Yarrowia lipolytica: one gene and its partners. The protein of the gene in region 3 interacts with the protein of the main gene of each other region in a pairwise test. Links are inferred from orthologs where the notes say so. Each region holds a gene or a part of one and is shown on either strand. Other genes may lie near its edges. The genes, in order: YALI1_C23359g, YALI1_C31453g, YALI1_B20717g and YALI1_D13611g.

Region 1 (7,650 bases), on a different chromosome or scaffold from region 3:
CCAGAATGTGCTTACTCATTCACAGACTGCCGTTACACCGGGAAATCTACTATTAAGACACCCCAGGTGGTTACGGGCAATTCGACATTGGATGTGATCACATGTGATACCATTCTTCACCTGGTGATATCCTCAAAGGACTACAAACATGCGGTCGTAAAGGAGCAGTACACAGGTAGTGGTTGACTTGACCGAGCCGAGCAAGTACGTCACCAAGTTTCTCGAGTGGGCTATCATGCTTTCGAGACGCCGGCGGGCCTCGCGGAATTCTCCTCGATCAAGGAGGAGAATTTACTGTCCTGCGCAGATATGCTGAAGCTGAAGGAATTGAGGTTGAGACCACGCATACCAATGATCACGTTTCACCGCATCCGAACCTCTCACGTCTTCCGACTTTCGGATCGGTGTGTTATGTGTGCACCCTGATGTTCAGCGGGACTAAGCTGCAAGAGACGGCGCTTATAGGGATCTGTGTGGCCATGTCCAATATGGCAAGCACTACCTAGTCTGGGATCTCCTTGAAGGCCGAGTTTGCCAGTCTCCATTTGCGCGTTTCCTGGAACGCCGACCCCTTGCAGACCACATGGAACGTCATCTGGGTCTTCTTGAAACCCGTATGGTCCAAACCTTTGACTCTGAGAACCCTTCTTTGATCCCCCAGTCTGGCGGACTTGTTTCCAACAATACGAAGAACGACATCTACACCTCGAATGAATCGGTTTCACCACTCTAGATACCAGAGACGCGGCGACTGTTGACGGGGGAATGTCCTTCCCATCCTTTTGTAACTGATGGCAGGATGGACATTCGAGATAAAGGCTTGGAACGGGCTGGCGAAGCGTATACTGGTGGCACATACCTTGGACTCGTTCCTGAATGACGACTTGGAAACACATCAACCCCACTGGCAGTGGCTACTGATGGGATTCTCCCTGCCGAGGAGACCATACCCGAGAAGTTCCTTACATACTAATGTGAAAATCGGCAACCCCCAGACAAGCCCGCTCTACGTGGCAAATGCTCCAGCACCAGACCCCAACGCGAAGTGTTGCCGATGGCGTCCCCGTACAGGCCTGTCTACCCAGCATGACGAGTTACTCACCAGAAAGGTGTGGGCTCGCTCATTCACCCATTCACCAGAGAGACTCTCGATCAGTGGATAAATATCTACAAAGTCCATCCATCTGCGACAAAGCTGGTTCCTCTAATCATTAATGAGGATTTCTCATCAACGTATTAGTCAGGTATTACCCTACCGGCTTACATAACAGGTTTAGACCACGCCAAATGTCTGTCTTTAACCCTGCTCTAGGCGAAAATTCAGAATAGAGTTTGTCAATAACACGTTGAGGGACGCGCGGATGAAGGGATAAAACCGCGTTTACGGGGGTTTTTGGGAGGTTTGGTCACGTTATCAGGGTAATCACGTGACAAAACCTCCATCCGCGGGCGTCCCACCAACGTTCTGCGTACGCCAAAGTGCATTTACGACGCATTTACGACGCTTGGCGGGCTCTACCCTAACCCCAATGCAGCAGTGTAGACGCGTCACGAACTAGTTGCGAGTTTCAGTCTCACCCAGCACGCCTAAAAGTAGTGACGAGACTGCGATAATGAATCAGGAGAAGATGAAGGAGGAGAGTGAGTAACCACAAGAGAAGAGAAATGAGTGAAGCCCGCGGCATGTCGGGTTTGGCGGGACCTGATAAGGTGGGTTTGGTGATTTGAGACGGTGGGGTGTGGGATGAAGATGGAACGAGTTGGCAAGCGATTGTTCGTCATGTTGAGCAGTTTAATAAGGTCCATGGTTTGTGCACGGCTTCCTTTTGTGTGGTATGCTACTGGAGTGGCGTGTTCTTACCGTGTCAATGTCTTGCTCTGGATCCAAGTTATGGATCGTAATGCTACAATTTCTGAAAGATGACCTGGCTCCATCTTTTTCTACGGGATACCAAAAGGACCGTGTCTTGGGAACAGTGCGACCGGCAAAATCACAGTTATCAAACCCGCAGTCTCTACATGTCTTCCTCAATCTCACAATACCGGTGTTCCCACCAACGCGATCAGAATGCTGCCAGTTCCACCACTCGCACGCATGACCTACTTGTCACCGTCTCAGCATATCAAGCGAACCTCTTTTGGGTTGTGTCAGAGCAGTCAATCATCAAAGCGCCCCGAGAGCGGGCTCATGGCAATGCCAACTGTGTGAACTTGCTGCCAATTACAACGGTTCTATTATACAAACTTGGCGCTGAACGGTTACAAACGTGTCATGGACAACTACCAACTCTTGCAGCCGACTCGTTTATCCTGCCAAATCTGTTCACCTTCCCGCGTGCTGCTCTTCTGCTTCCTTTCTTTGCTAACCCAGGTCTCTCCCTTCCCATCTCAACCCCGTCGGCAGATGTGATCATCATCGATTGCAACTCGCTATGCGACTCAAAGCTCTACACAAACCCGTCCGTCATCTCGACCGCCGTCTATATGGTCGGCACGGACCCGCTATTCGGCCCTATTCTCGGCATCGTTTACAAAACGGACAAATCACATTCCTGCGTCATCATCTCGCGCCACGGAGCTTCCGGGTTCGTCGACATGACCCTCAGCCACAAGAGCCGATACTACGGCGCAGTCAAAAACCTCGAGGACAAGTCCTCGGCTGTGTCACGCGCTCTAGGTATCGCCCTCCTGCGTGCCTATGTCACCATGGACAAGAACATCCGTACATATCTCGCCAAAAACGCTCTCCAAACGTCCTTCCTCTACGATTACGATGAGACATGTGCAGGAAAAACGGCCTCTCAGCTTGTTGTGGGGGATGGACATGGTCCCGAGGAGATTGGTAAGCTGGTATTAGAATCTGGTGTTGTCGAACCCAAGTTTGTGCGTTCCAGTGCGGTGGATATCGTCTACGAAGACAGCGACGAGACTATTGAGGATAACAACCGGCTCGTGTACCTGCTTGGCGAGCAGCTCGAGCAGCTGTTTGACCCACTGAGTGAGTACTCGCCCGAGGGTGTTGAGGAGGTTTACGAGCCCCCTAGAGACGAAGATACAGACAGACGCGGTGCTGGCGGTGATGTCGACCAGGAGGACGACGAGAACGGTCGCGAACCAAGTCCCACATCGTCCAACTTTTCCGATTCGGCTACACTCACGTCCGTGTGCTATGAGCTCATCACCATCCAGAACAATTTCCGCGACGCGCTTATCTCGTTTTTGCAGTCGTATCTCATTCCGCTGCGAATCCAGGTCATCAATGGCGCCATCCCCTCGCTAAACATGACAAAGTTGAATTCCATCTTCCCACCCACCATTGACGAGATTGCTCGAATTCACAACCTATTCCAGACCGCGCTCAAGGCTGCGACGCCGTTTGGCTCGTCGGAAATCGTCAGAGCCACAGGAATGACTCTTCCTTACTTTTACAAGCCGTGCATGCGCCACGAGGCTGCACTGAGGTCTTTTTCCGATCTCTATGGCGACTACTCTGCGCTGATTGCCGAGTCTGGCTTTGTGCCTCCAGTTCCCTACTCCCAGCAGCGGATCCAGTCAGTTCTGGCCGCTTCTCAAAACCTCACCAAGATCAAGCTGCTGCTGGATCGTATTGTAAAGCTCAGCAACTGGGGCGACAAGCATGATGCGACCATGATGTACTACCATGCGGCTGTCAACACAATTGAGAGTTTTGCGCGGGTGGAAAACCACGTGGTCTACGACAAGCGAGTCTTTACACCAACTGGTAAGATTCTCGTTGAGTTTGCCTCCGGCTGGCCGAGAGAGCTACAGTACGGGTGGATAAACCGAAGAGTTGTGAGCATTTTCGACGTCACGAGTGTGTTTGAGACGCGTGAAATGCGAACCGAATCGCGTAACACACAACAACACAATGGTTCCTCTCCTTCGTCCTCAAAAGACTCAATTCTCATCATCTTCACCGATCACATTCTTCTGCTGGAAGTCGAGCCCTCATACTCGTCGACGATTCAGACACAGGCGCAGAAAAGAATCGCGTCGGGTGTTTCTTTCCACTCGGTGTCCATCGCCGACATGCTAATGCATTCGCTGATCAACGAGGTTGCCGTACCACAAATTCCGCCTCTCAGAGTCAAGTTCTGGGCACCCATATCACACGTTTTTGCTTCCGAATACAACTTTGGCCACAACCTGTCGCTGTTTGCAGTCGGAGGGTTCAACACAGCCGAATATGGCAACGAAGGTATTGTCCCCAACAGCCTGGAGAACGCCACTGGAGGTTCTGGAAGCTCCACCACGACACTACTGTTCACCCTCAAGACTCCGGTTGCACCCAAGATTGTAGAGCTCTGCACTAAGGCGAAGATCATGTCGAAGACACAACCGTTCCATCTCTTTCACCACCAGAAGACTCACGGTCTGAATCTGTTTATGACGGTGCATGAAATGCAGGGCTATCTGTCTGAGCAACGAAAGTCTCCCATTGCCATCTTTCTGAACATGGACGGGTCCGATGGCAAGCAGCTCGCACGTGAACTTACAAAGCGCCACGAGCTGGACGCAGCCTTTTCCATCTCGCTGCTGTCCAACGAGAGTGCCCATGTGACGCTGCACTCCAAGTTTGCCTACACCCTCGACCGCCAGGTGAGTCTGGACTCGCTCGCCAACTTCATCAACACCGAGGTCTCCAATCTGTACACGCTGTATCTGTCTCCGGCCAACCCCGAGATGGTCGAGAGCATTGTGCAGGGAAACGAAATGGTGGCACAGCAGCTGATGGATTTTGCGACGCGCCAGGCCCACACAAAGCCTACCAAACCCGTGCAGAGCAAAAGCATGATTGACGATGCGGCGCTGGTGGTTACGGGCGTGAGCAAGCCCGTCCAGGGAGTGCACGCGAAGCCGCCTGTCCCTGCCAAGGATGTCAAGAGTGCGAAGCCCAGTGCGAAGCCTTCTGCCAAGGCTCCTACCAAGGCATCTCCCTCGTTGAAATCAAAAAAGTCGGTGTTGTCGCTGCTCGGCAAGTCACCCAAGAACAGTCCCAATCCCGAGCTCAACCGGAAAGACAGCATGTGGATGAAACTCAAGGGCAAGTTGCGATCACCCAGTTTGAGAGAGGAAGATGAAGATGAAGATGTGGTTGAGAGCGGTAGAGTGCCTGACGTACCCCAAAAGATCAACGTGCCCCCTCCTGTGCCCGTGGTGCCTCCTACGGGCGAGATGCATGGTCTTGGTATTTCTGCCAAGACTCCTGAGATGGACGGTGGGAAGTTTGGAGCGGCGGAGACTCCTCGGCCAACGCTTGAGAACGACCCCGATGTCACTCCCAAGGTTGTTCGTCGCAAGAAGTCGTTTGCGGCTCTCCGGCGTGGAATTCAGACCAACAGTGACGATGAGGATGGTGCTGAGGTGGATGATATCGGGTATGGAGACGTGGATAACCCGAGAGTGAACTCGGAATCCACTTATGGCGGTGAATCAGGGGCGCACGGGGCCGATAGAGCCGTATCTGGCGTTTCTGACGCTACCAGGGCAGTGTCATCTGATTACGGAGCAGTTTCAGAAGCTACCCGAAACTTCTCCGGCATTCAAGGTGTCACTGGAGACCCGAGGGCGGCTGAGTTACGTGCAGCATCCGGTGTCCGATCCGTGTCTCGACCCCTACCAGTCCCGAATGCTGATAGAACCCCCTCCACAGCTACCGCCATTTACTCTGGAAACGATACGTCAGCTTTCAACTCAAGCTCTGGCTACAATTCCAGTTCGGTCGCTGCAAACACCACCTCTTCAGGTATCTACGATCCCACGGGAGTGTATGCCAACACCACTAATGGTACCACCTCTGGTGTCTACCCTGACGCCAGTACTCGAGCTGTGTTCAACAACACTACGACCAACTCCTCAGGATACAACACCACCAACCCAGTGGATGCTCTCGGGGTGTTTGGCGCCCCCGCTGCTTCTGGTGTAGTTGGTACAGGATCCATTGTCGTTACTGACTCTTCTGGCGTAGACACATCAGCCAGCCAGCCAGGAATCACCTCTAGCGGCTCAATTCGACCAATCAAGAAGGAACCCAGCCATCCAGTGTTCGACTCCAACCATCAATTACCCACATCACATTCCCACTACTACACGTACTCTGGATCGGAGTCTGAAGACAATGTGGCCAACCAAAGACACACCTGGAACGACTCGTACGACTCGGAGCTAATGGGTGGGGGCCATGGACGAAACATGAGCTCGCTGGAGAGCCTGGACTGCGGCGAATCACGTGACGCCAGCGTTTCCCACGCGTCACGTGACTCCCGCAACGACGTGAAGCTGTTTGATTTCATCAAGACCAATCGGTCTTCAGCAGCTGACCCCGACTGCGTTGATGACGTCAGCGAGTTTTCCTCGTTCCACTCGAGTGAAGAGTCGTCGTCACGTGGTAGCGACTTTAATGACTCGCGTCGGTTTGAGGACTCCCGGCGGTTTGATGAGAGCCGGGACTTCATGGCCGAGTCACGTGACCAATCTCGTGTGTATCCGTCGCAGGCTCAATCGCGTGACCAATCGCAGTACTACGACCAGTCACGCGACTTTATGGCCGACTCGACGTCGGACCTGCAGGCGGCTCGAAACTATCTGGCGTCGCGCGACTCGGACGAGTCCCGTGATTTCATGGTTGACTCATCCCGGGACTTTCTGGCTGGTTCATCACGAGACATTCTGCCTCCCGGTACGTCGCGTGACGACTCTGCGCGCCAATTGCGACACATGAAGTCTTCCTCCATGGCGCAGTTCAAGTATCCTCCTCCTCTTCCTCCTATTTCTTCCGAGAACCCGGCCGAAGACGAGTTTTCGTCCTTTTCCTATCTTGCTGGTATTTTGCAGGGTAAGGTTGCGCTTGGTGAAGAAGACGGCAAGTCTTTGGAGAGTGCCCATGCACGACGGACGTCCAAGAGTGCCCGGGTGTACTCTCGAAATCCCGTTGACACCTCCCAGGTCCCTCAGTCGGAGTCTTTCACCTCTTCCATCGAGAGCGGGTCGACTGGAGGAGCTTTGTACCCTGATTTGCGAGACTCGTCCATTATGTTTCTCGGCAAGTATGTGAGGGATCGAAGTCCGGCAAAGGGACAGACGAGGGTGAAGAAGGAGTGGGTGGACGAATACGAGTAAGGCCAAACTGTGGAGATGGCAATGGCGATACGCGTACTATGAGTAACAATTCAACGGTGCAAGCACAATAGATAATAATGCATAAATTGGTTGATAAACTGCTGTGGGCGAGTTTAACACAAGTAGATGTACAAGTATTGCAAATGTTCTTGGTGTTTCTCATGGGGTCGACAGGACAGGTGCAACGTCTCCATGTGGACGTCCGTTATATTGTTAATCTGACACTCAACTAATTTGTTGAAGAGCCTCACCACAAATCGAACCCACGGTCTCATATGCCGAAAAAAAAATACAAGGTCTGATATTATTAAGCGATATGCATGATGCTGCAGTACACTGATCTCATCACCACATCTGCAAAAAAACACAACCAAATCAACCCCCGAATGAAGTGAGTATGAGATAATGGAGGGGACTCAGAGGGGAGGGAGAAAGTCAAATCAAAATCATTAGGCCAGAATACAGGGCGCGATTTGGCGATCATCAATGGCTCGCGGCATGGTTGAGCAT
Region 2 (5,392 bases), on a different chromosome or scaffold from region 3:
TGGGTCGATCGGACCAAGGGTGTTGCTGGTCTATGCCAGGCGCAGATTCTGCCGTTTGGAGACATGGACACAATGGTGCTGTGGCAGACTATCGAGGCGTTGACTTACCAGGGTCTGAAGGAGTAGGCCGGGCAGAAAGCACGAACAATGCCTGGATGCTGTAACTGCCGCCTGGTGCTCGTCTCTGGCCACACCTTTCAAACTGACTTAATGAACTAATGACGCCTGGCTGTACCAGTTCAACAAATTTCCTGTTCGGATACGTCTATCTATAAGAATATAATGAATAAGTTGAAGGAAAAAACTCATGGACGAACCTCCATCGCTTAGGTTAAGGCACTGACCTCTACATTCCCACGTTGCTTTCACATCCCCCAACTCTTTGCAACCTACGATATGGAACAATCTCGATAATGTACACCCACTCAGGTCATTCTATTTAATTCAATAATTATGTAAAGTCCAAATTCCACCCATATTCACCGTTATACCTATACCGTACCCATGTCCTAAATCTTCTTATGCTTGTAAGCCAACAGCGGACTCAAACTCTGCAAGCCACAGCCCTTCTTCAAGAACTCATGGTTGACCAGCTCGTCGGTGGAGGCTCTGTAATTGACATCAACACACAGACAGACAGAAAGGAACGCCTTAATATCCTTGCTGAGCCGTTCGGGATGCTTCAGCTTGGGAGTACCGTTAGTGGCAATCAGGTACAGAGCCTTGAGAGGCTCCTCGTTCAGGTAAGGAGGCTCTGACTCGATCATCTCAATCGCCATGATACCCAAGCTCCACACATCTACCTTAGCACCATACTCCTTCTGCTTGACCACCTCAGGGGCCATCCAGTATGGCGTGCCGACCATGGTGGCTCGCTTGTTCTTCTGGTCCGTGAGCTTGGCGCAGAAACCGAAATCAGTAATCTTCACATGACCCTGGTAGTCCAACAGCACGTTGTCACTCTTGATGTCTCTGTGGATAATGTTCTGATGATGCAAGTGCTGCAGACCTTTACAGGTCTCGCCGGAAATTGTGGCAATCTGCTCTTCACTCAGACTGTTGTTATCAATAATGTCAGTGAGAGCACCGCCCTCCATATACTCCATGACCACCCACAGGTCGTTGGTGCCTCGCAGATAGGCGTCCAGGAAGTTGACAATGTTGGCATGCTGCGACTCTTTCATGACGATGATTTCGTTCACAATGAGCTCCTTTCGGGGCTGTGACGCCAGATCCATCTGTTTGATAGCCACCTTCTTGAGCTGGAACTCGTTGGTCATAGGCCGAGCCACATACACAGAGCCAGACGCACCCTGACCCACCTTCTTGAGCTTCTGGTACAAGGGAGTAGGGTCCTGGGGGTTGACCACCGACTTGAGCTTCTCGGTGATCTGTGCGTCGGTCATGGTCGAGATTCGACGCTCGTCATGCTGGGGCTTCTTCTTGGGACCTTCGAGAGCAGCAGTTGTAGCAGCGGCGGCGGCGGCAGCAGCGGCAGCACTAGCTCCACCAGGAGACGTCTTGGTAGGAGACGTCTTAGTGGGAGACATTCTTGGGTAGCCACCCTGGCCGACACCAGCAGCAGAGGGCTTCTTGGGAGACGTCTTGGGGGTCGTCTTCTGGGGCGATGGTGCAGGCCGCTGGGGCTTGAACTGGTTAGCCGCTCCAAGAGCGGGAGCAGCAGACGTACCTGAAGATGCAGGGAGTGCCTGGGGCTGCTGAGTTTGCTGAGGCACAGGAGCAGCTCGCTGGGGCTGGAATTTGTCTCCACCGCTCTGTGCAGGCACCGGAGGGGCAGTCTGAGGAGGCCGGTTGGCAGGGATGGCCTTCTTGACCATGAGAGGAGCGACGTATGAGTTTCCCGACGACACAGAGTTGATAGAACCACTGGAGTTCTTGTGTCGCAGCATGGGTCGCTGGGGGGGCGGTAGATCGTGCAAAGCAGCTGTGGCCACGGGAGAGGCTCTGTATGCGGTGGGCGATGTCTTGGACGACAGAGAGCCCTGCGACGACGACTGGGTCATCGACGTGGGCGTCGTGGGGTAGTTGCCTCCGGTGTTGCTGGTGGGCGATTGTCGTTGCTGGTACGAGTCAACGTCGGGGTTGATTCGCAGCAGAGGATGCACGGGGGTCTGAGTGCCGCTGCCACTGGCTCCGCTGACGCTTCCACTGCTGTTTCCAGCACCGGCACGCATTTCGTTACGCAGTTCCTGTCGCAGCTCGCTTCGGTCCCTAGGGATCGTCGAGGTCGATGGCAGTCCATCAGGTCGCTCAGGCCGTGGGGGGGCCGCCCGGGTGACGTTGGGGACCGAGGGTCGTCGGGGGACGGATGTGGACGGAGAAAGAGACGTGAGAAGATCGTCGTCGTTCTTTCGTGTGGCATTATATCGTGCGGGAGTGGTGGCTGTTGAAGAGCTGGAAGAGCCAGTACTAGGGACGGGTTTGGTCCACTCCTGCAGGTTGTTGGCCATACGCTGGGCCTGCTGCTGCTTCTGCTGCTGCTGCATGGCCCGCACACGAGCGGCGTCCATTGTCAGGCCCTCATCAAACTTGTTCTCAATGCCAATGCCCAAAGAAGATGCGTTGAATCCCATGGCCTCAACATTTTCCTTGCTGTAGAACTCAAGCACCTCGATGACGGCCTGAGGGTTCTTGGCGTAGTCTTCCTTGGTGATGGCTGACGTCGAAAGCAGCTTGCTCCAGGCGTCGGGTAGACCAGTGAAGCCTCCGGAGATGGGGTCGAAGCCAACGTGCACCTTATGTGTGAAGTTGGTGGGATTAGAGACGCCCATGAGTGGGCATTTGGAGTAGATCTCATCGATCCAGGCGTACAGCTCCGTGTCATTCTTGCAGACGACGAACACGGACTTGAAGCCCGACGACCGCACAATCTCGAAGCAATATGGCTTGAGATCGACACGTGTCACGTTCGAGACCGTGTATAGCGGGATGGAGAACTGCACTGACGACGTCTCCGACTTTTGAAAGTCCAATGCATTTTCCCGCAACACCAAGTACTTTTTAGTCCACATGAGCGACCGGAACGATGATCCATCCTCCTTGACGGACGCGAACCCGGACTTGAGCACCCTGTTGGACGACGCGGGTCGTGTGATGGCGTCTCGTGTGATGGTGGGGGCGGTACGGGGCTCTGTGGGGGTCATGAGCCCGGAAAGGTTTGTGCCGCTGGAAGAGGCGGTGAGGCTACTGGCGAAGGGCTTGGGTGGCGGTGGGGCAGGACCAGGGTTTAGAAATGCTTGGCTGAATTGTGACATCTGAGTTAGTACAGTCTTCGAAATGAGTGTTGCGAGCATCTCGAATGTAGGGACGACAGGAGAAGCTGCATACATCATGAGCTGAATGTGGGCTCCTTGGACAGCTGTGTGTGTCGTAGCGTCTTCATCATGGAAAGTTTGGTATTGCCCATGGTCGGGATTTTTCATAGTCGGGATGTGCAATTAACTCATGGCAGTGCGACGCTCCACGCTATACATGGGCTGTGTATCAAGGGCTGTGTATCACAATGCAACGTCTCTGCACAGTTTTGTATGGTGGACGGTTCGCTCTGATGTAGAGTGGGTTGAAATGAATCGCTTCGTGCTGAGATCACTGGTGGTCAGATGGACCTAGATAGGCAAAATGAGATGTGAGGACACATGAGACACACCATGGCAATATACGCAGTGCCATATGATCAGCCCATCTGCAGAAAGCAGTGCCGCATGGCCCATATATCTGCTCATAGCCTCGATTTTGTCATATGTGACTCCCACCCCCCCTGTGTCCAATGTGTCCTACACGTGTCGAATCGTCACACCAACAGTGCAGATGCACACAGTGCGCCCAAGGTTGGAGACATCCGCCTCCTCTTCACTTTGCCCATCACCTCATAGTCGCAAACACCCATCCATGTTCTATCAGTTCGTCTATCATACTCACTTTAGCCTGTGTGTCGTTCGTTGTTCCAAAGAGTGTCCTTGCGGTTGTCTAATTCTAGTATCGATGATGTGTCGTTTTGCAACTGAGTCTGTGTGAGGAGGCTTTTGTGTTGGTGAGTATCACTGTCGTTAGTGTATCGCTGTCGCAAGTATCCGGTTCTGTATCTGTGAGTATCTGGATCCGTATATTGTACCTGGTTTTCGGTCCTTTGGTGTTGTGTGCGTGTGTGAATCTGGGCCGATTATGGGAAAAAATGCAAGTAGTTAGAGAGAGTCGTTAGAGCGAGTTGTGGAGAGGGTCGTGAAGAGAGTCGCAGAGAGTCGTTGAGGGACTGAGTAATCGAGAGGGCTCGTTCTTCTCCGTTCTGCGTCGCTCGTTGTGGTTTTTATTTCTTTGGCAAAGCTCGACAAGTGGTGGAAAAAAGACAATGATGAGGTTCAGTGGTCTCAAAATCTAGCTTCTGGACTTGTCAAAACAGTCCGTGAGTAAAGGGGTCCAACCGTAACCGCGATAGGCTTTTTCGGAGGGGATACACCTCGAGCAAGACAGACAGGGGATAGTAGTGTTGTGAGGGGAGACGAGAAATAGATAGCTAGCGGGCGTCTAATTACGGGGTGCGAGTAATTATTAGTTTGACGCCTTTTTTTTTTTCTCTCTCTTCTTTTGCTCTTTCTTTGGCTTCTCCGTCTTGGATTCCTGGGTTTTTCGTGGCTCTTTTTACACTACAAGTATGAGCACCCAACCCAACCCAGCCTGAAGTTGCCTCATTAAAAATACTGACTGCCTTCAGACGTTTTTTTAAAATTAGTCTTTCTATGTACGGCAATGACAGACTATAGATGATATTGCGATGGTGCGACGGAACAACTGGAGTAAGAGAAGATCTCCAACCAAAAAAAAAAAAAAAAAAAAAAAACCAGCTTCAAAACGGATAAACCGGATAGAATTACAACCAAAGATCTGCTGTCCTCTGTAGTACCAATAATGGGTGGAATTTACAACAATTCCTCTCCCTAACCAAGTTTTCTCCCTCCCGCATCCCAACCCAAACGCGACGCGAGATAAATAAACTAGACTCACATTAATTGACATGATAGAGGTACATGGCTGGTCCAGTGACGTGAACCGACAGCATCGGAAAAGCTCCTTGACAAACACACACACAGTGACACATAACGACCTAGGGTCACGTGAGCCACCCCTCCTCCCGCCTCCTCCTCCCCCACGCTCCCGCTTGGTCTTCTCAACTCCGCTCTTAGTGCAACTTCTGAGACAACCCTAACCTGCTTGACGGGTTAATCTCCCTAAAAGGTATGGTCATTAAAATGGAGCCCAGCCAACAGCAAGGGCAAACTTGTCCATAATCCACCAAGAAAAAAGCAACAATGAATGATTTTCACATCTGCTGCTGCCGTAGTCTCCAGTCTTGGCAATCTCTTCTTCCGAAGGATGT
Region 3 (3,216 bases):
GGTCGTAGTACAACGTCAATGTCGTGAGTGTAGATGTGTAGTTCTGGTAGGTTCTGATTAGATTTTCTGCACCAAGGTAGATATTAGGGTATTGTACGCACACCCACTATTTTTCGATGGATTTCTTAGGATAGAGTTCGGGACTCAAACATCTGCCTGAGCGATGTGCTGGCTTAATAAGGGTGGGGCGTGTCTTTTAATTGTAGAGGCGGAAGCTATCCGTACTTGTACTTATCGTGTAATGATGACCCAACAGGGGAAATAATACACCACTGCAGCACTACAAGCACGCGTCAGGTTCTACCTTTGGATATTCAATAATATATATGTCAAAAATGGGGTAACTACAGACATCAGGTGGCATCTCGAGGCTTGAAACGCATAGTGATGCTTTGTTTTGAGGTTCCCTCACGGAGGCCCTGTAGACACAATCCAAGCCCAGTTCTACTACAATAAACATATCTTGAAACATTTTTTTCTTGCTTTGATTCATTTTTCGTTGTGTTAACCCATTAGCATGCAAAAACTAGAGCACAATGCACTTTTTGTTCTTCTTGACCACTGGAGGCTCAAGAGCTGCCACGATGGCCTCGTCGAAAACGTCCTTGAGACCCTTCTGAGTAAGGGCAGAACACTCGACGTACTTGACGGCACCGAGTTCTCGGGCGAGCTGGTAGCCTTGCTCAGTGGTCATGGGTCGCAGCTTGTGTCGGGAAAGCTTGTCAAGAATCATCCTGTCACTTCGCAGATCAACCTGGGTACCAACAATGAGGCAAGGCACGCCGGGGCAGTGGTGGTGGACCTCAGGGAACCACTTCTCCTTGACGTTCTCAAAGGAGGCGGGAGAGGTGACGGAAAAGCAGACGAGGAAAACATCGGTCTGAGGGTAACAAAGAGGTCGCAGTCGGTCGTAATCCTCCTGACCGGCGGTGTCAAACAGTCCGAGTGTGTAGGGCTCGTCTCCAATCCTGGGGTTAGTATCTCGATTCGTTGCTTGGGGGGGGGGGGGGGGGGGCTTGGTTTCTTGCAGAATGCGACGCGTTATACTCACATGACAGTCACGGCATAGTTGTCAAAAACGGTGGGAACGTATTCAGAGGGGAACTTGTTTGTTGTGTATGAGATGAGGAGACAAGTCTGCGTTAGTAGGAGCTCTCCAGGGCCATTAATCCATCGTCCAGAACGACATCGTGATCGTGGCGGAGCACGAGAACCTTGATAATTGGCGTTTTGTCTTTATACTCACCTTTCCGACGGCACCATCGCCGACAACAACACATTTTATGGTCTGCATTTTATCTTTTTGAGGGTCTGTGCACGGGCTAGGGCGGGAGCTTGTTCAAGGAGCGTGGTGGGGGCGTGAGAGTGTGAGAATGTGGGTGTGTTGTGTGGGTGTGTATGTGTGGAGTGTGATATGTGAGGTGGTGAGTTGTGCTGTGCGACAGGGTTTCGGATTTGGGTGTCAAACGAGAAGGCTGCTTACAGAAGCCTATGCTTTTTTATGCACAAAGGTGTGCCACGGAGCGCTTCTGTGGTGTATCGTGAGCCAGGGGGCGCGGAATACGAGGGCTTGTGAAATCTTCTCGTCTGAGAAAGTCGTTTCTCTACCATCGAATACTCTGTATATTTCCACCGCCTATTGCCGTCTGTGACTTACGAGTGCCCCACCTCTCCCCTCCCACTGACGTTGCCAAAACTAAGTCCCCTAATCGAATCGTCCCAGGGGAGCTGGAAACTGTACTTCAAGGGCATAAAGGACATAATAGGCCAACAGGGGAAAACTGTCGCGTGGGGCAACTGGACCGGATATTATTACTATTCAAACACGCACACATTCCGTTTACATTCCGCAAACTGACGCCGTCCTCTATACTACGTGCTACGTAGCAGTCAGCGTCAAAACATCTATGCCACACAACCCATTCGCTCATGCATAGGCCACATCACTCACTGATAAGCCCAAGGCCAATGAGGCACATTTCTTGTGTCGGGTTAGTGCGCGGGTCGGTGCAGTACTTACAGGTACAGTAGCGTACAATGTTTATTAAACACCCCCTATGAACAGCCCAAGTTCCACCATACACTACGTTATCACGGTACTACCACCCTCTTGTATGGCCCACTATCTTTCCCGAACTCCCCTCACGCCACATCACTCCACAGACACGATCCCTTGTCAGCACGCGTACCAGTCTACTGTAAGTACAGTACCTACGATGAACTTCGTAAACTCTGACCAGCACTCATAATCTTGAATCAAACATAAAATTCTACGGTAGGGGGTTAGTTAATTATACAACCAGCCGCTGTTACAGCTATCGTACGCAGCCGCTAGCAACGATGAAACAGCAATAATTATACCCTATTCCCCCATAGATGTGCACGCCCAATACGGCCAAGACCAAAGCATCATGAGTAGCGTGGAAGTTCTCTTTCTCCTTGCAATTTGAACCAGAGCCACTAAACTGTTTATACCTCTAACATGCATTGTGGACGTACTGTAAATACTGTTAAACTACTCCACGGATCTTTAAAGACACACTACAGGTACAGTACTTGTAGTGGGTGTACAGTACATACTGGATTATTGCCGTCGCAACGACAGCACAGCTGCACAATCCAGGTGGGTTAATTACTTATTGTACAATGTGCACGTCAAGCAACTATGAGATGGAATCTTAGGGATCGTACTATTGTACTTGTAGCACAGTTATGTTGTAAGTCGCTTATACTTGGCTTCTGTCGTAAGTCCTACCCTCGAATGTCTCAGTAAGCACTCCCACCAATGTTTACCACTTTCGCGTTGCACCTTCACGTCTCTACTGCTACAGTTGCGTGGTCGGCTTGATACTCACGCGCTCAATACACATTCATTTTACACCAGCTATACATTCTACTACTTGTATCATATAAATAATAAATCAATTAATGTTCTATCAGTTTATTCCAATTCTCATCCTCCTCTCACACTCCCCTCACTATCCTCCTCACTTCTCAATCTTTTTAGTATCCCGCTCCGCTACCTGCACAGACATGAGAACAGCTGCCAGGTCTGCCGGTAGAATGGGTTTGGCCAGATAGCTGACCATACCAGCATCCAGGCATTTTCTTCGATCTTCTCCTCCAGCGTTGGCCGTCAACGCAATAACATTAGGGCAGTCATCCTTATACAGCTCTTTGAGCTCCTGGGAAGCAGCAATACCATCCTTGTTGGGC
Region 4 (7,592 bases), on a different chromosome or scaffold from region 3:
ACTGCAACTTTTTAACCTATCCAGCAGGCTATCAGCCCTGTTTATGAAACAAGTTGAAGTAAGAAACAAGCCATTCATCTACGAGTACTGTATGTACTTGGGTGCTGGACTCATGACATACCCTTCCCCAATACAAAATGTCAAGATTTTTTTATCTTCGGCTACAAGTATGTATAGGTACTTGTACGTACTCTACTCGAACTGTAACTATCTCCATGATTACATCGACTGCAACTTCATATATCCATGGAAACATTTCTCTCATTAGTCAATCATGCATTGTTTATGTAATCGTGTAGTTTTACTCTTCATCATTTGTGTATCTGGAAGATTGGGACGAAGCCGTACCTGGTCGCCGGGGGGTGGGAGAATCGGGTTCCTCGGACGACTCTATCTCAGTTTCGGGCTCCGCACTGTCTCGCCTCTCCGCCTCAATATCCTCCTCTACCTTGATCTTCTCCGCTGCGCTGGGCGACCGGTTGGTCGCCGAAGGCGACAGGTGAGGACCCAGGTCCGAGTCGGAGCCAATCGACATTTTGTTTCGCAGTCGGTTAGCCTTTCGGGCTCGCATCTCTGCTAGTCGGCCTTGAGACATGCTTCCAACGGATCCTGTGCTTCGATGGCCTCGAGGAGATGCTCCTCCAGACCGCAGAGCCTGCAGCAGGTTCTGCGCACGGGTACCAACGTCATCGTCGTCGTCGTCGTTGGGAGTGGTAACTGCCACCTCAGGAACAGCTCTATCAGGTGTGTGAGCGTCTTCTGTCTCATGAGGAGTTCGAGGTGTCGAAACCCCCTCTGGCACGTCACCACGAGACACATCAACAGACAGGCGAGTAGACGTACGTGATGACGGCGCTACTGCTGGAGCTTCCGTGTCTGCTTCGTCATCTCTTGCGGGTTGCACTTCTGTTGTGTCAGCATCGGCATTTGGAGAACCCTCCCGGATCTCGGTGGTGTCACCCTCAATGATGATGGACTTGTCGTAGTCGTCAGCATCCTCAATGAGGTTCTCCTGGTACAATTTGGAGGAAGCATCCTGGTTCTTGCGGGCTGCAGCTCGTCGACGAGCTGACCGAGCACCATGAGAAGACTTTCGAAGTCTTTCCAGCAGATCATCCATGACTAGGTTCTCTCCAGACTCGGCAGCCGCAGCGGCAGCATCCTCAGCAGCCTTTCGACTCGCCAATGCACGCTGCTTTCGAGCTTCGTAGATTCGATTCTCCTCCTCTCGATGCAGGTTCTCATCCTTGGCCTTTCGGTACTCCTTCACAAAGGCAACAAACTTGCCAAAGAAGGTGCTTTGAGACTGCATGTCACCAGGATCTTCACCGAAGAAGCGCATGATCTGGGAGAATTCGGCAAGAGTAGTTTGCAAATGATCCTGCAGAAAGTTGCGCTTCCGACGAGCTGAGTCCATGTGCAGATGCATGTGTGTGATGATGCGGTCTCGAGGATGCAGCCGCTTCGGGTCCGAAAGAGCTCCAACGTCCAATGAAGTCTGAATGTTGGAGATGTTCTGCATGTAGTCTCTGCAGTCGTTCTGCAGGTGCTCCACAGAGAGACGCTCAATGGCGCACACGGGAGCAAGCTCGTCAATGAAAGAGTCCACCTCAGGGAACGAGTTTCGAACCAGCTGCTCGACGTAATGCAAAAAGGTTATTGTGTTCTTCTCGTCCTTGGTGAAGATGAGACGCTGCAGAGTTGCCAACTTGAAGCCTGTGGCCTGCTTGTTGGCGTCGTTCATGTAGTTACCCACAGACAGGATGATGAGGAAGATTCGGCGCAGCATTTCTGAATTCTTGAGAGTTTCACACGCAGCGTCCACAGACGTTAGCTTGGTCACCAGATCACTGTATTCCTTCTCAAATGTGCACGTCATCAAGATTGCCCGCGTTCGCTGTCGCCAGTAGTGCTGGAGATCAAACACCGTCTGCAAGTAGATCTGGTCGTTCCGCTCCAGGTCTTCCACATTCTTCTCGGGCTCACGCACCTCACCATCCTCGAACCGAGTAGAGTAAGGCGTAAGCTGACGAGTCACACTGTTGGGGATCTCCAGAACCTCGTCCTTAAGCAAGAACTCGAGGAGAACGGGGTTTCGGACCCGTCGGGACACAGACATGAGCTCGGAGACAATTTCGGGAACACCCAGGTCGTTGAAGGTGTGGAAATTGATACCGATCTGCTGAGACAGGTCTCGTGCAATCACAGAAAGCTTCTCAAAGTCGCCCTCCTTGGCGCCCCGCTTTCCAATCATCTTCTTTGCCTCCTTGGCCGCAAAGATTCGCTCTACCTCGTCGAAAATGCCCTTCTTGTACAGGTCAGCCTCTACATCGCCAGAAGACAGCTGCGCCCAGAAGGTATGCTCCACGTTCTCCAGCTTCTCCCAGTGCATCTGCTTGAGCTTTCGCTTGGGCCGTCCGATGGGTGTTTCGAAACCTGAAGGAAGCTGGGGAGAAGGAGACGGCGAGGGCGTCGCACCAGCAACAAACGCCGGAGCAGGAGGAGGAGGTCCACCTGTGAAGCCAGGAGGCAGAGGAGGCGGAGGAGGAGGCGGAGGAGGACCACCTGTAAAGCCAGGCGGAGGAGGACCACCTGTAAAGCCAGGCGGAGGAGGACCACCTGTAAAGCCAGGCGGAGGAGGTGGTGGAGGCGGAGGAGGTCCTCCAGTGAACATGGGAGGAGGTCCTCCAGTGAACATGGGAGGAGGAGGCGGAGGAGGCGGAGGCGGAGGTCCGCCAGTAAACTTGACTGGCGAATGTGCATTTTCTTTCTCCTTCTTAGCCTCAGGCTCGTCGTCAATTTCGATGACCACGTCTTCAGGCTCTGTCTTGGTCTCCTTTTTGACCCGTGTAACAGAGGAGTCGCCTGCATCCTCATCCGCACTATCGATATCGCCATGACCATCACCACCCTTGCCACCCTTGAATTTGGCCACAAGCTCGTTGGCAAACGGTAGAGCACTGGGTCTGTCGTGAATAGAAGGCATGGTGGCAGCATCAGGACCGTTTCCAGTGCCATTGCCACTTCCAGTACCTGAGCCAGACCCGATACCATCTCCACCTCCACTCCCGTCCCCAGCAACAGCCTTGGGCTTTCTAATTTCCACAAGGGTAGCTGTGGCAGCCTGGGGCTGGCCCTGCTGCTGCTTCTCACCGCGTCGATGCCGCTCAATGAGTTCAATCTCCTCCGCAGAAAGCTGAATACCGGGGTCGTTCATGGCCAGAGCCACATCGCCAGAAGCCTCCTGAAGACGTCGCAGCCGCTCAACCTGCTGCAATCGTCGCTCGTATAGATCCTGCTTGGAGACATCTGCTGCGTTGAACGACAGCGCCAGCTCGCCCGAGGCCTCCTGGAGCTTCTTTAGCCGCTCCAGTTTTTCGAGTCGACGAGCATACAGATCCTCCTTGGTGAGAGCAGGTGTTGAAGCATCGGGCTCCTCGGTATCAAACTCATCTTCGTCAAAGTCGTAGCTCTCAAGTTCACGTGCCTGAAGCTGAAGGGCCTCCATTCGGTCTCGCAGCTCTCGCAGACGAGGAGAAGGTTCCACCTGGTTGCGGCCAACTGACAATGAACCGTACTCGGCAGTCTTCTGATGCACCTGCTGCTCCAGACGTTGCAGCATTCGCTGTCGATCAATGATGCCTTGCGACTTTCCGCCCTCGGTGCTGACCATGGACGTGTCGGCCGCCGCAACCTCTCGCTCCTTGAGCATCATATAAAGCTCTCGAATCTCCAGCTCCTGCTCCTGCAGCTTGACTAGCGACTGTTCACGTGCGTCCTCAAGCTCGGATCGCAGAGCATCGTTCTGGCGCCGAGAGATTCGCGCATTGTGCTCCATCTCCTCCAGCGTCTGGTGCAGCTTGCTGATGACTCCATCCGAGCCCTGTTGCAGTTGTTCCTCCATGCGCATCTTCTCAGCCTCGGCTATCTCCACATCCCGTAGAGCCTCCTTTGCTTCGAGTATCGCCCTCCGTGCTTGGTCGTCAGTGTGTAGCTTACCCAAAAGTGACTGCACCGAGAAGTTGACCACCGAGCGGAAATCAACGTCTGGCATGATTCTATCCATCACCAGATGGGTCACCACAGCATCCACCAGCTGCAGCATACGAGCTCCGTCCTCTCGAGGGTCTTCTCGAATCAGCAGCAGGTGTTGCATGATCGACACAAAGTGGCCCTCGCCCTGCGTGTGCTCCACACGGCTCCAAATCTCCTCGGCTATCGCCACAGGGTCAGTCATGTCGCCCACATTGGCTTGGCGATCAAGAGCAACCAAATCCTCAAAGTCCAGTGCAGCCTGCTCGTCGTACTTCTGCAGCTGCTCGGTAAGCAGATCATAGTTGAGTGCCTGCATCCGAGCTGCAATACGAGGCAAGCCGCAGGCCTTCATCTGGGATCGCAGGTGGACTCGCACCCGAATGTCCTCTACGCCCTGAATGAGAATGTTGATCAGGAACATGGTGGCTAGGGAGTATTCCATAAGTAGGGACTCAATAGAAACTCCTCCGGACCGAAGATCGTCCGATGCCCCAACAAGAGAGCCAAACTTCCCTCGGCCAGCTAATGTCTGTTCCACCACGCTGAACCATGCGTCGAATCGGGACACCTCATTGAGGTGCTGTTTGAGCTGTGAAAGACCCGCCAGAACCTGGTCATGGCCTTTAGGTGCGTCCCAATGTGCCAGGAACGTCAGAACGTCTGTCACCAACTTCCGTGTACTCAGTCGTGGGGACACCAAAGATCTGACAATGGGTGCCACGCACTTGGAAGTTCGAACAGCGTGGTCGGCACCATCTCGCAGGTTGAGCAACGCCTTAAGACATCGCACAATGTCGTACTCTCTGTCCAGGAAGCCCTCGCTGTTATTGGTTCGCGAGTTGATCTGCTGGAGCCATGCAGCCAGAGCGACCTGCCCCTGGGCATCAATAAAATCTCTGACCCAGTCAACAGGCTCAGTTCGCAGTGAAACCCAAAGGTTGCCCAGCTGCTTGGATGTGATGGTATTGTCAAGAATCTTGCGCACGTAGAACTCAGGTGAATGTGAGTTGTTGGACTGTGATGGTGTGGGAAGATGGGGTGTATGGTGACTCTGTCGCAGTCGTCCTTTTTGATGGTCGGCCAGATGGTCCTGGACAATGAGCGTCCACTTTTTGTCGGTGGGATAGCTGATCATCTGTCGTCGTGCTTCCTCTGGCAGGTTCTTGAAGTCTCGCTTGTTCATGAGCTGCATATACAGCTGGTGGATGGTTGCCTCGTCCGGAGGGTGTTCCAGGTCCATTCGGGCCAACGAGATGCTTGACTCTCTTGCGCTATTGATGCTGGGCGGCCGTGATCCTCCGCTGAGTGTCGATTCTGCCTCGGTCGAAGAGGTGTCGTGTGAGGACATGGACGACTTTCGTCTGTGGCCCGTCTTCAACATGTTGGGCAGACTGTGTAGCGAGCCATGGTGCTGTTGCTGTGGCAGCGGTGGAATGGGCGCCGAGATGTTCTGGGGTACAAACCCCGATCCAGACGCATTATCACCTGCTGCGGGCAGATACGGCACGTGGATGGGCTTGTTGGACTTTTGCGAGATGCTGTCGTAGGCCAACGACGAGAACGCCGACGAGTTGGTCGGTATGGTATGCAAGTTTCCGCCGTCGGGATCGTTGTGGGAGTAGATGGATGACGTGTCTGATCCCAGGGACCGCACCGAGTTCTGTTTGGACAGCTTTCGCAGGCCCAGGCCCTGAGTTACCGACTGGAGCTTTCCCGCTGTACTGCTTCGGATGGACGCCGAGTCTGGCAGAGGGCCAGAAATGTCGTGTTTCTTTGCCTCGTTTCGTTTCATATCTGTGTTAGCATCAGGAGTGAGCGCCATATGGTACACGTCCCGGGTGGCTGTGTGGATCCTTTGCGACCACCGTGGACATATGATTCTTGGAATTGCACTCTTTTGTGTATCTTCAGCTGCTGTCCGCGGTGGTCTTGCTCCACTGGTCCCTCGTCCCCCTCCCCCGCTCGCCACCTCCATTGTTCACTCACCCTCCACTAAATACCGAATGTCACTGTGTGTGTGTGTGTCACTGGTGTGTGTCGCAGTATCGCTTTCTCTCCCTCGCTCGTGTCGCAGCTCTAAGTCTCGTAATAGTGCTGGTCTGTGTATCCGTTAGCAAGACGGTGATCCACACGTTCTGAATTGGGTGCCTGTGGATTTGGGTTGTCTTGCAGACACGAGTGATGGCTGCTAGAGTTAAACTATTAGAAGGGATACGAAATGGCGCAACAGAGTCGCACTGCGAGTAGCGAAGAACGGAGTTGGGAGATATACGGACAAAGTGCAAGTAGAGAGAGAGAGGGAGAGAGAGAGAGAGAGAGAGCTTGACGTCTCAGAATCATACTCCCTTTAGGAAGGAGCAAACTTGACCGGCCCCTGATACCCTCCCCGCAGTACACAAGACCACGTGTTAACTGGGCCTAAGCTGACCGTGTTGCTCCCCACTCTGCAACCGTTTTTTTTTCGCGCCTCACCTCCAATTCACACGCCCAACTGTCCACCATAGAGTTCACCCTCTGACCCACCAACCCACTAGCCCACTAAGCTTGGTATTGTGCCGACAAAGTAGTTATAGACCCCTTTGACGACAGCAATAGTAGGATAAATGGGGTGGTAGGAAGATAGCACCGCTCGAAACTAGCAATATTGCACACCTAGACCACATACAACATGCCATACACTACATAGGATACCAGGGTACCCTGGAGGATCTCGCCTGTACCTCACCGCATCCCACCATTAACTCCGGCACAGTACATAGGGGTGCATAAGATCGGGTCAGGTAGAGAAGGGAGACCCAGTATTATATGCACTACTACGCCAGGGGGGCGCCAGAGATAGGGCCATAGGACTGCCATGGTCACGTGAAGTGCCCATGGAACCCCCGTCGCTGTCTCACTGGGGGGAAACAGGATCCAGCCGTTCTTCCATCTCCGTATAAACGTCCTTGAATCCCCCCAGCCAGGGGTAAATAGTCTATATATAGCATCGACATAATCGCTTCAGCCTGATCCTCGGATGCTCGCCAAAAGCAATACGTCGCTTCAATCTACCCCCTAATCGATCTGCGGAGATTTCACAACCTCGAAATTGGATCGACGCATCTGGAACCGTTGCATTAGGAAGCTCACGTGCCCAGTCTAAACCGATATTGATATTGGTAGAGTACAAGTACAGCAGGGTTGATGATAAATACTAATGCAGTAGCTACAAGTAGCGGTACTAAGTCTGAGAATTAAATACTAATGTACATACAATACTAATGTACGTAGAATGCAAATGACTATCGCTACAGTCGCTTGTACTTTCGACTGTCCTTCTTGGACATTCGGGTCTGGTCCCGCATGCCCTTACCACCTTCCCAATGGGCACTGTGACGAGGAACATAGGAGTATCCACACGAATCACACTCCTTGGTAATGGTCTGCTCTCGACTGCAGGCTCCACAAAGCATTCGGTTGGCATGTTCGGCAACATGCATGCTTATGTCATCGTGGCACTTGTCACAGGGGAATACCTTGCCACAGCACGAAAACCGGAGCCATCGGTGCGACTTTTT

What was found.
Region 1: the proteins of YALI1_B20717g (region 3) and YALI1_C23359g interact in a two-hybrid assay, tested with the Saccharomyces cerevisiae proteins (2 studies listed by BioGRID). The link is inferred for Yarrowia lipolytica from reciprocal best matches to the Saccharomyces cerevisiae genes CDC42 and BUD3.
Region 2: the proteins of YALI1_B20717g (region 3) and YALI1_C31453g interact in a two-hybrid assay, tested with the Saccharomyces cerevisiae proteins (7 studies listed by BioGRID, with this or other methods). The link is inferred for Yarrowia lipolytica from reciprocal best matches to the Saccharomyces cerevisiae genes CDC42 and CLA4.
Region 4: the proteins of YALI1_B20717g (region 3) and YALI1_D13611g interact in a two-hybrid assay, tested with the Saccharomyces cerevisiae proteins (5 studies listed by BioGRID). The link is inferred for Yarrowia lipolytica from reciprocal best matches to the Saccharomyces cerevisiae genes CDC42 and BNI1.

What each region holds. Positions count from the first base shown.
Region 1 is NC_090772.1:2,334,072-2,341,721, forward strand, and holds YALI1_C23359g (uncharacterized protein), read left to right. Parts: upstream 1-1,920; coding exon 1,921-7,140; downstream 7,141-7,650. Other genes in the region: YALI1_C23415g (uncharacterized protein), read left to right, coding at 7,527-7,531.
Region 2 is NC_090772.1:3,141,881-3,147,272, forward strand, and holds YALI1_C31453g (uncharacterized protein), read right to left. Parts: upstream 3,444-5,392; coding exon 510-3,443; downstream 1-509. Other genes in the region: YALI1_C31408g (uncharacterized protein), read left to right, coding at 1-126. UniProt on the Saccharomyces cerevisiae protein: Involved in budding and cytokinesis.
Region 3 is NC_090771.1:2,069,783-2,072,998, reverse strand, and holds YALI1_B20717g (uncharacterized protein), read right to left. Parts: upstream 1,295-3,216; coding exon 1,247-1,294; intron 1,138-1,246; coding exon 1,052-1,137; intron 969-1,051; coding exon 527-968; downstream 1-526. Other genes in the region: YALI1_B20709g (uncharacterized protein), read left to right, coding at 1,930-2,027, 2,072-2,249; YALI1_B20634g (uncharacterized protein), read right to left, coding at 2,988-3,216. UniProt on the Saccharomyces cerevisiae protein: Involved in development of cell polarity during the cell division cycle, and essential for bud emergence. Affects signaling in the pheromone-response pathway through the STE20 protein kinase.
Region 4 is NC_090773.1:1,359,529-1,367,120, reverse strand, and holds YALI1_D13611g (uncharacterized protein), read right to left. Parts: upstream 6,011-7,592; coding exon 302-6,010; downstream 1-301. Other genes in the region: YALI1_D13574g (uncharacterized protein), read right to left, coding at 7,323-7,592. UniProt on the Saccharomyces cerevisiae protein: Required for the assembly of F-actin structures, such as actin cables and stress fibers. Nucleates actin filaments. Binds to the barbed end of the actin filament and acts as a leaky capper, slowing both polymerization and depolymerization.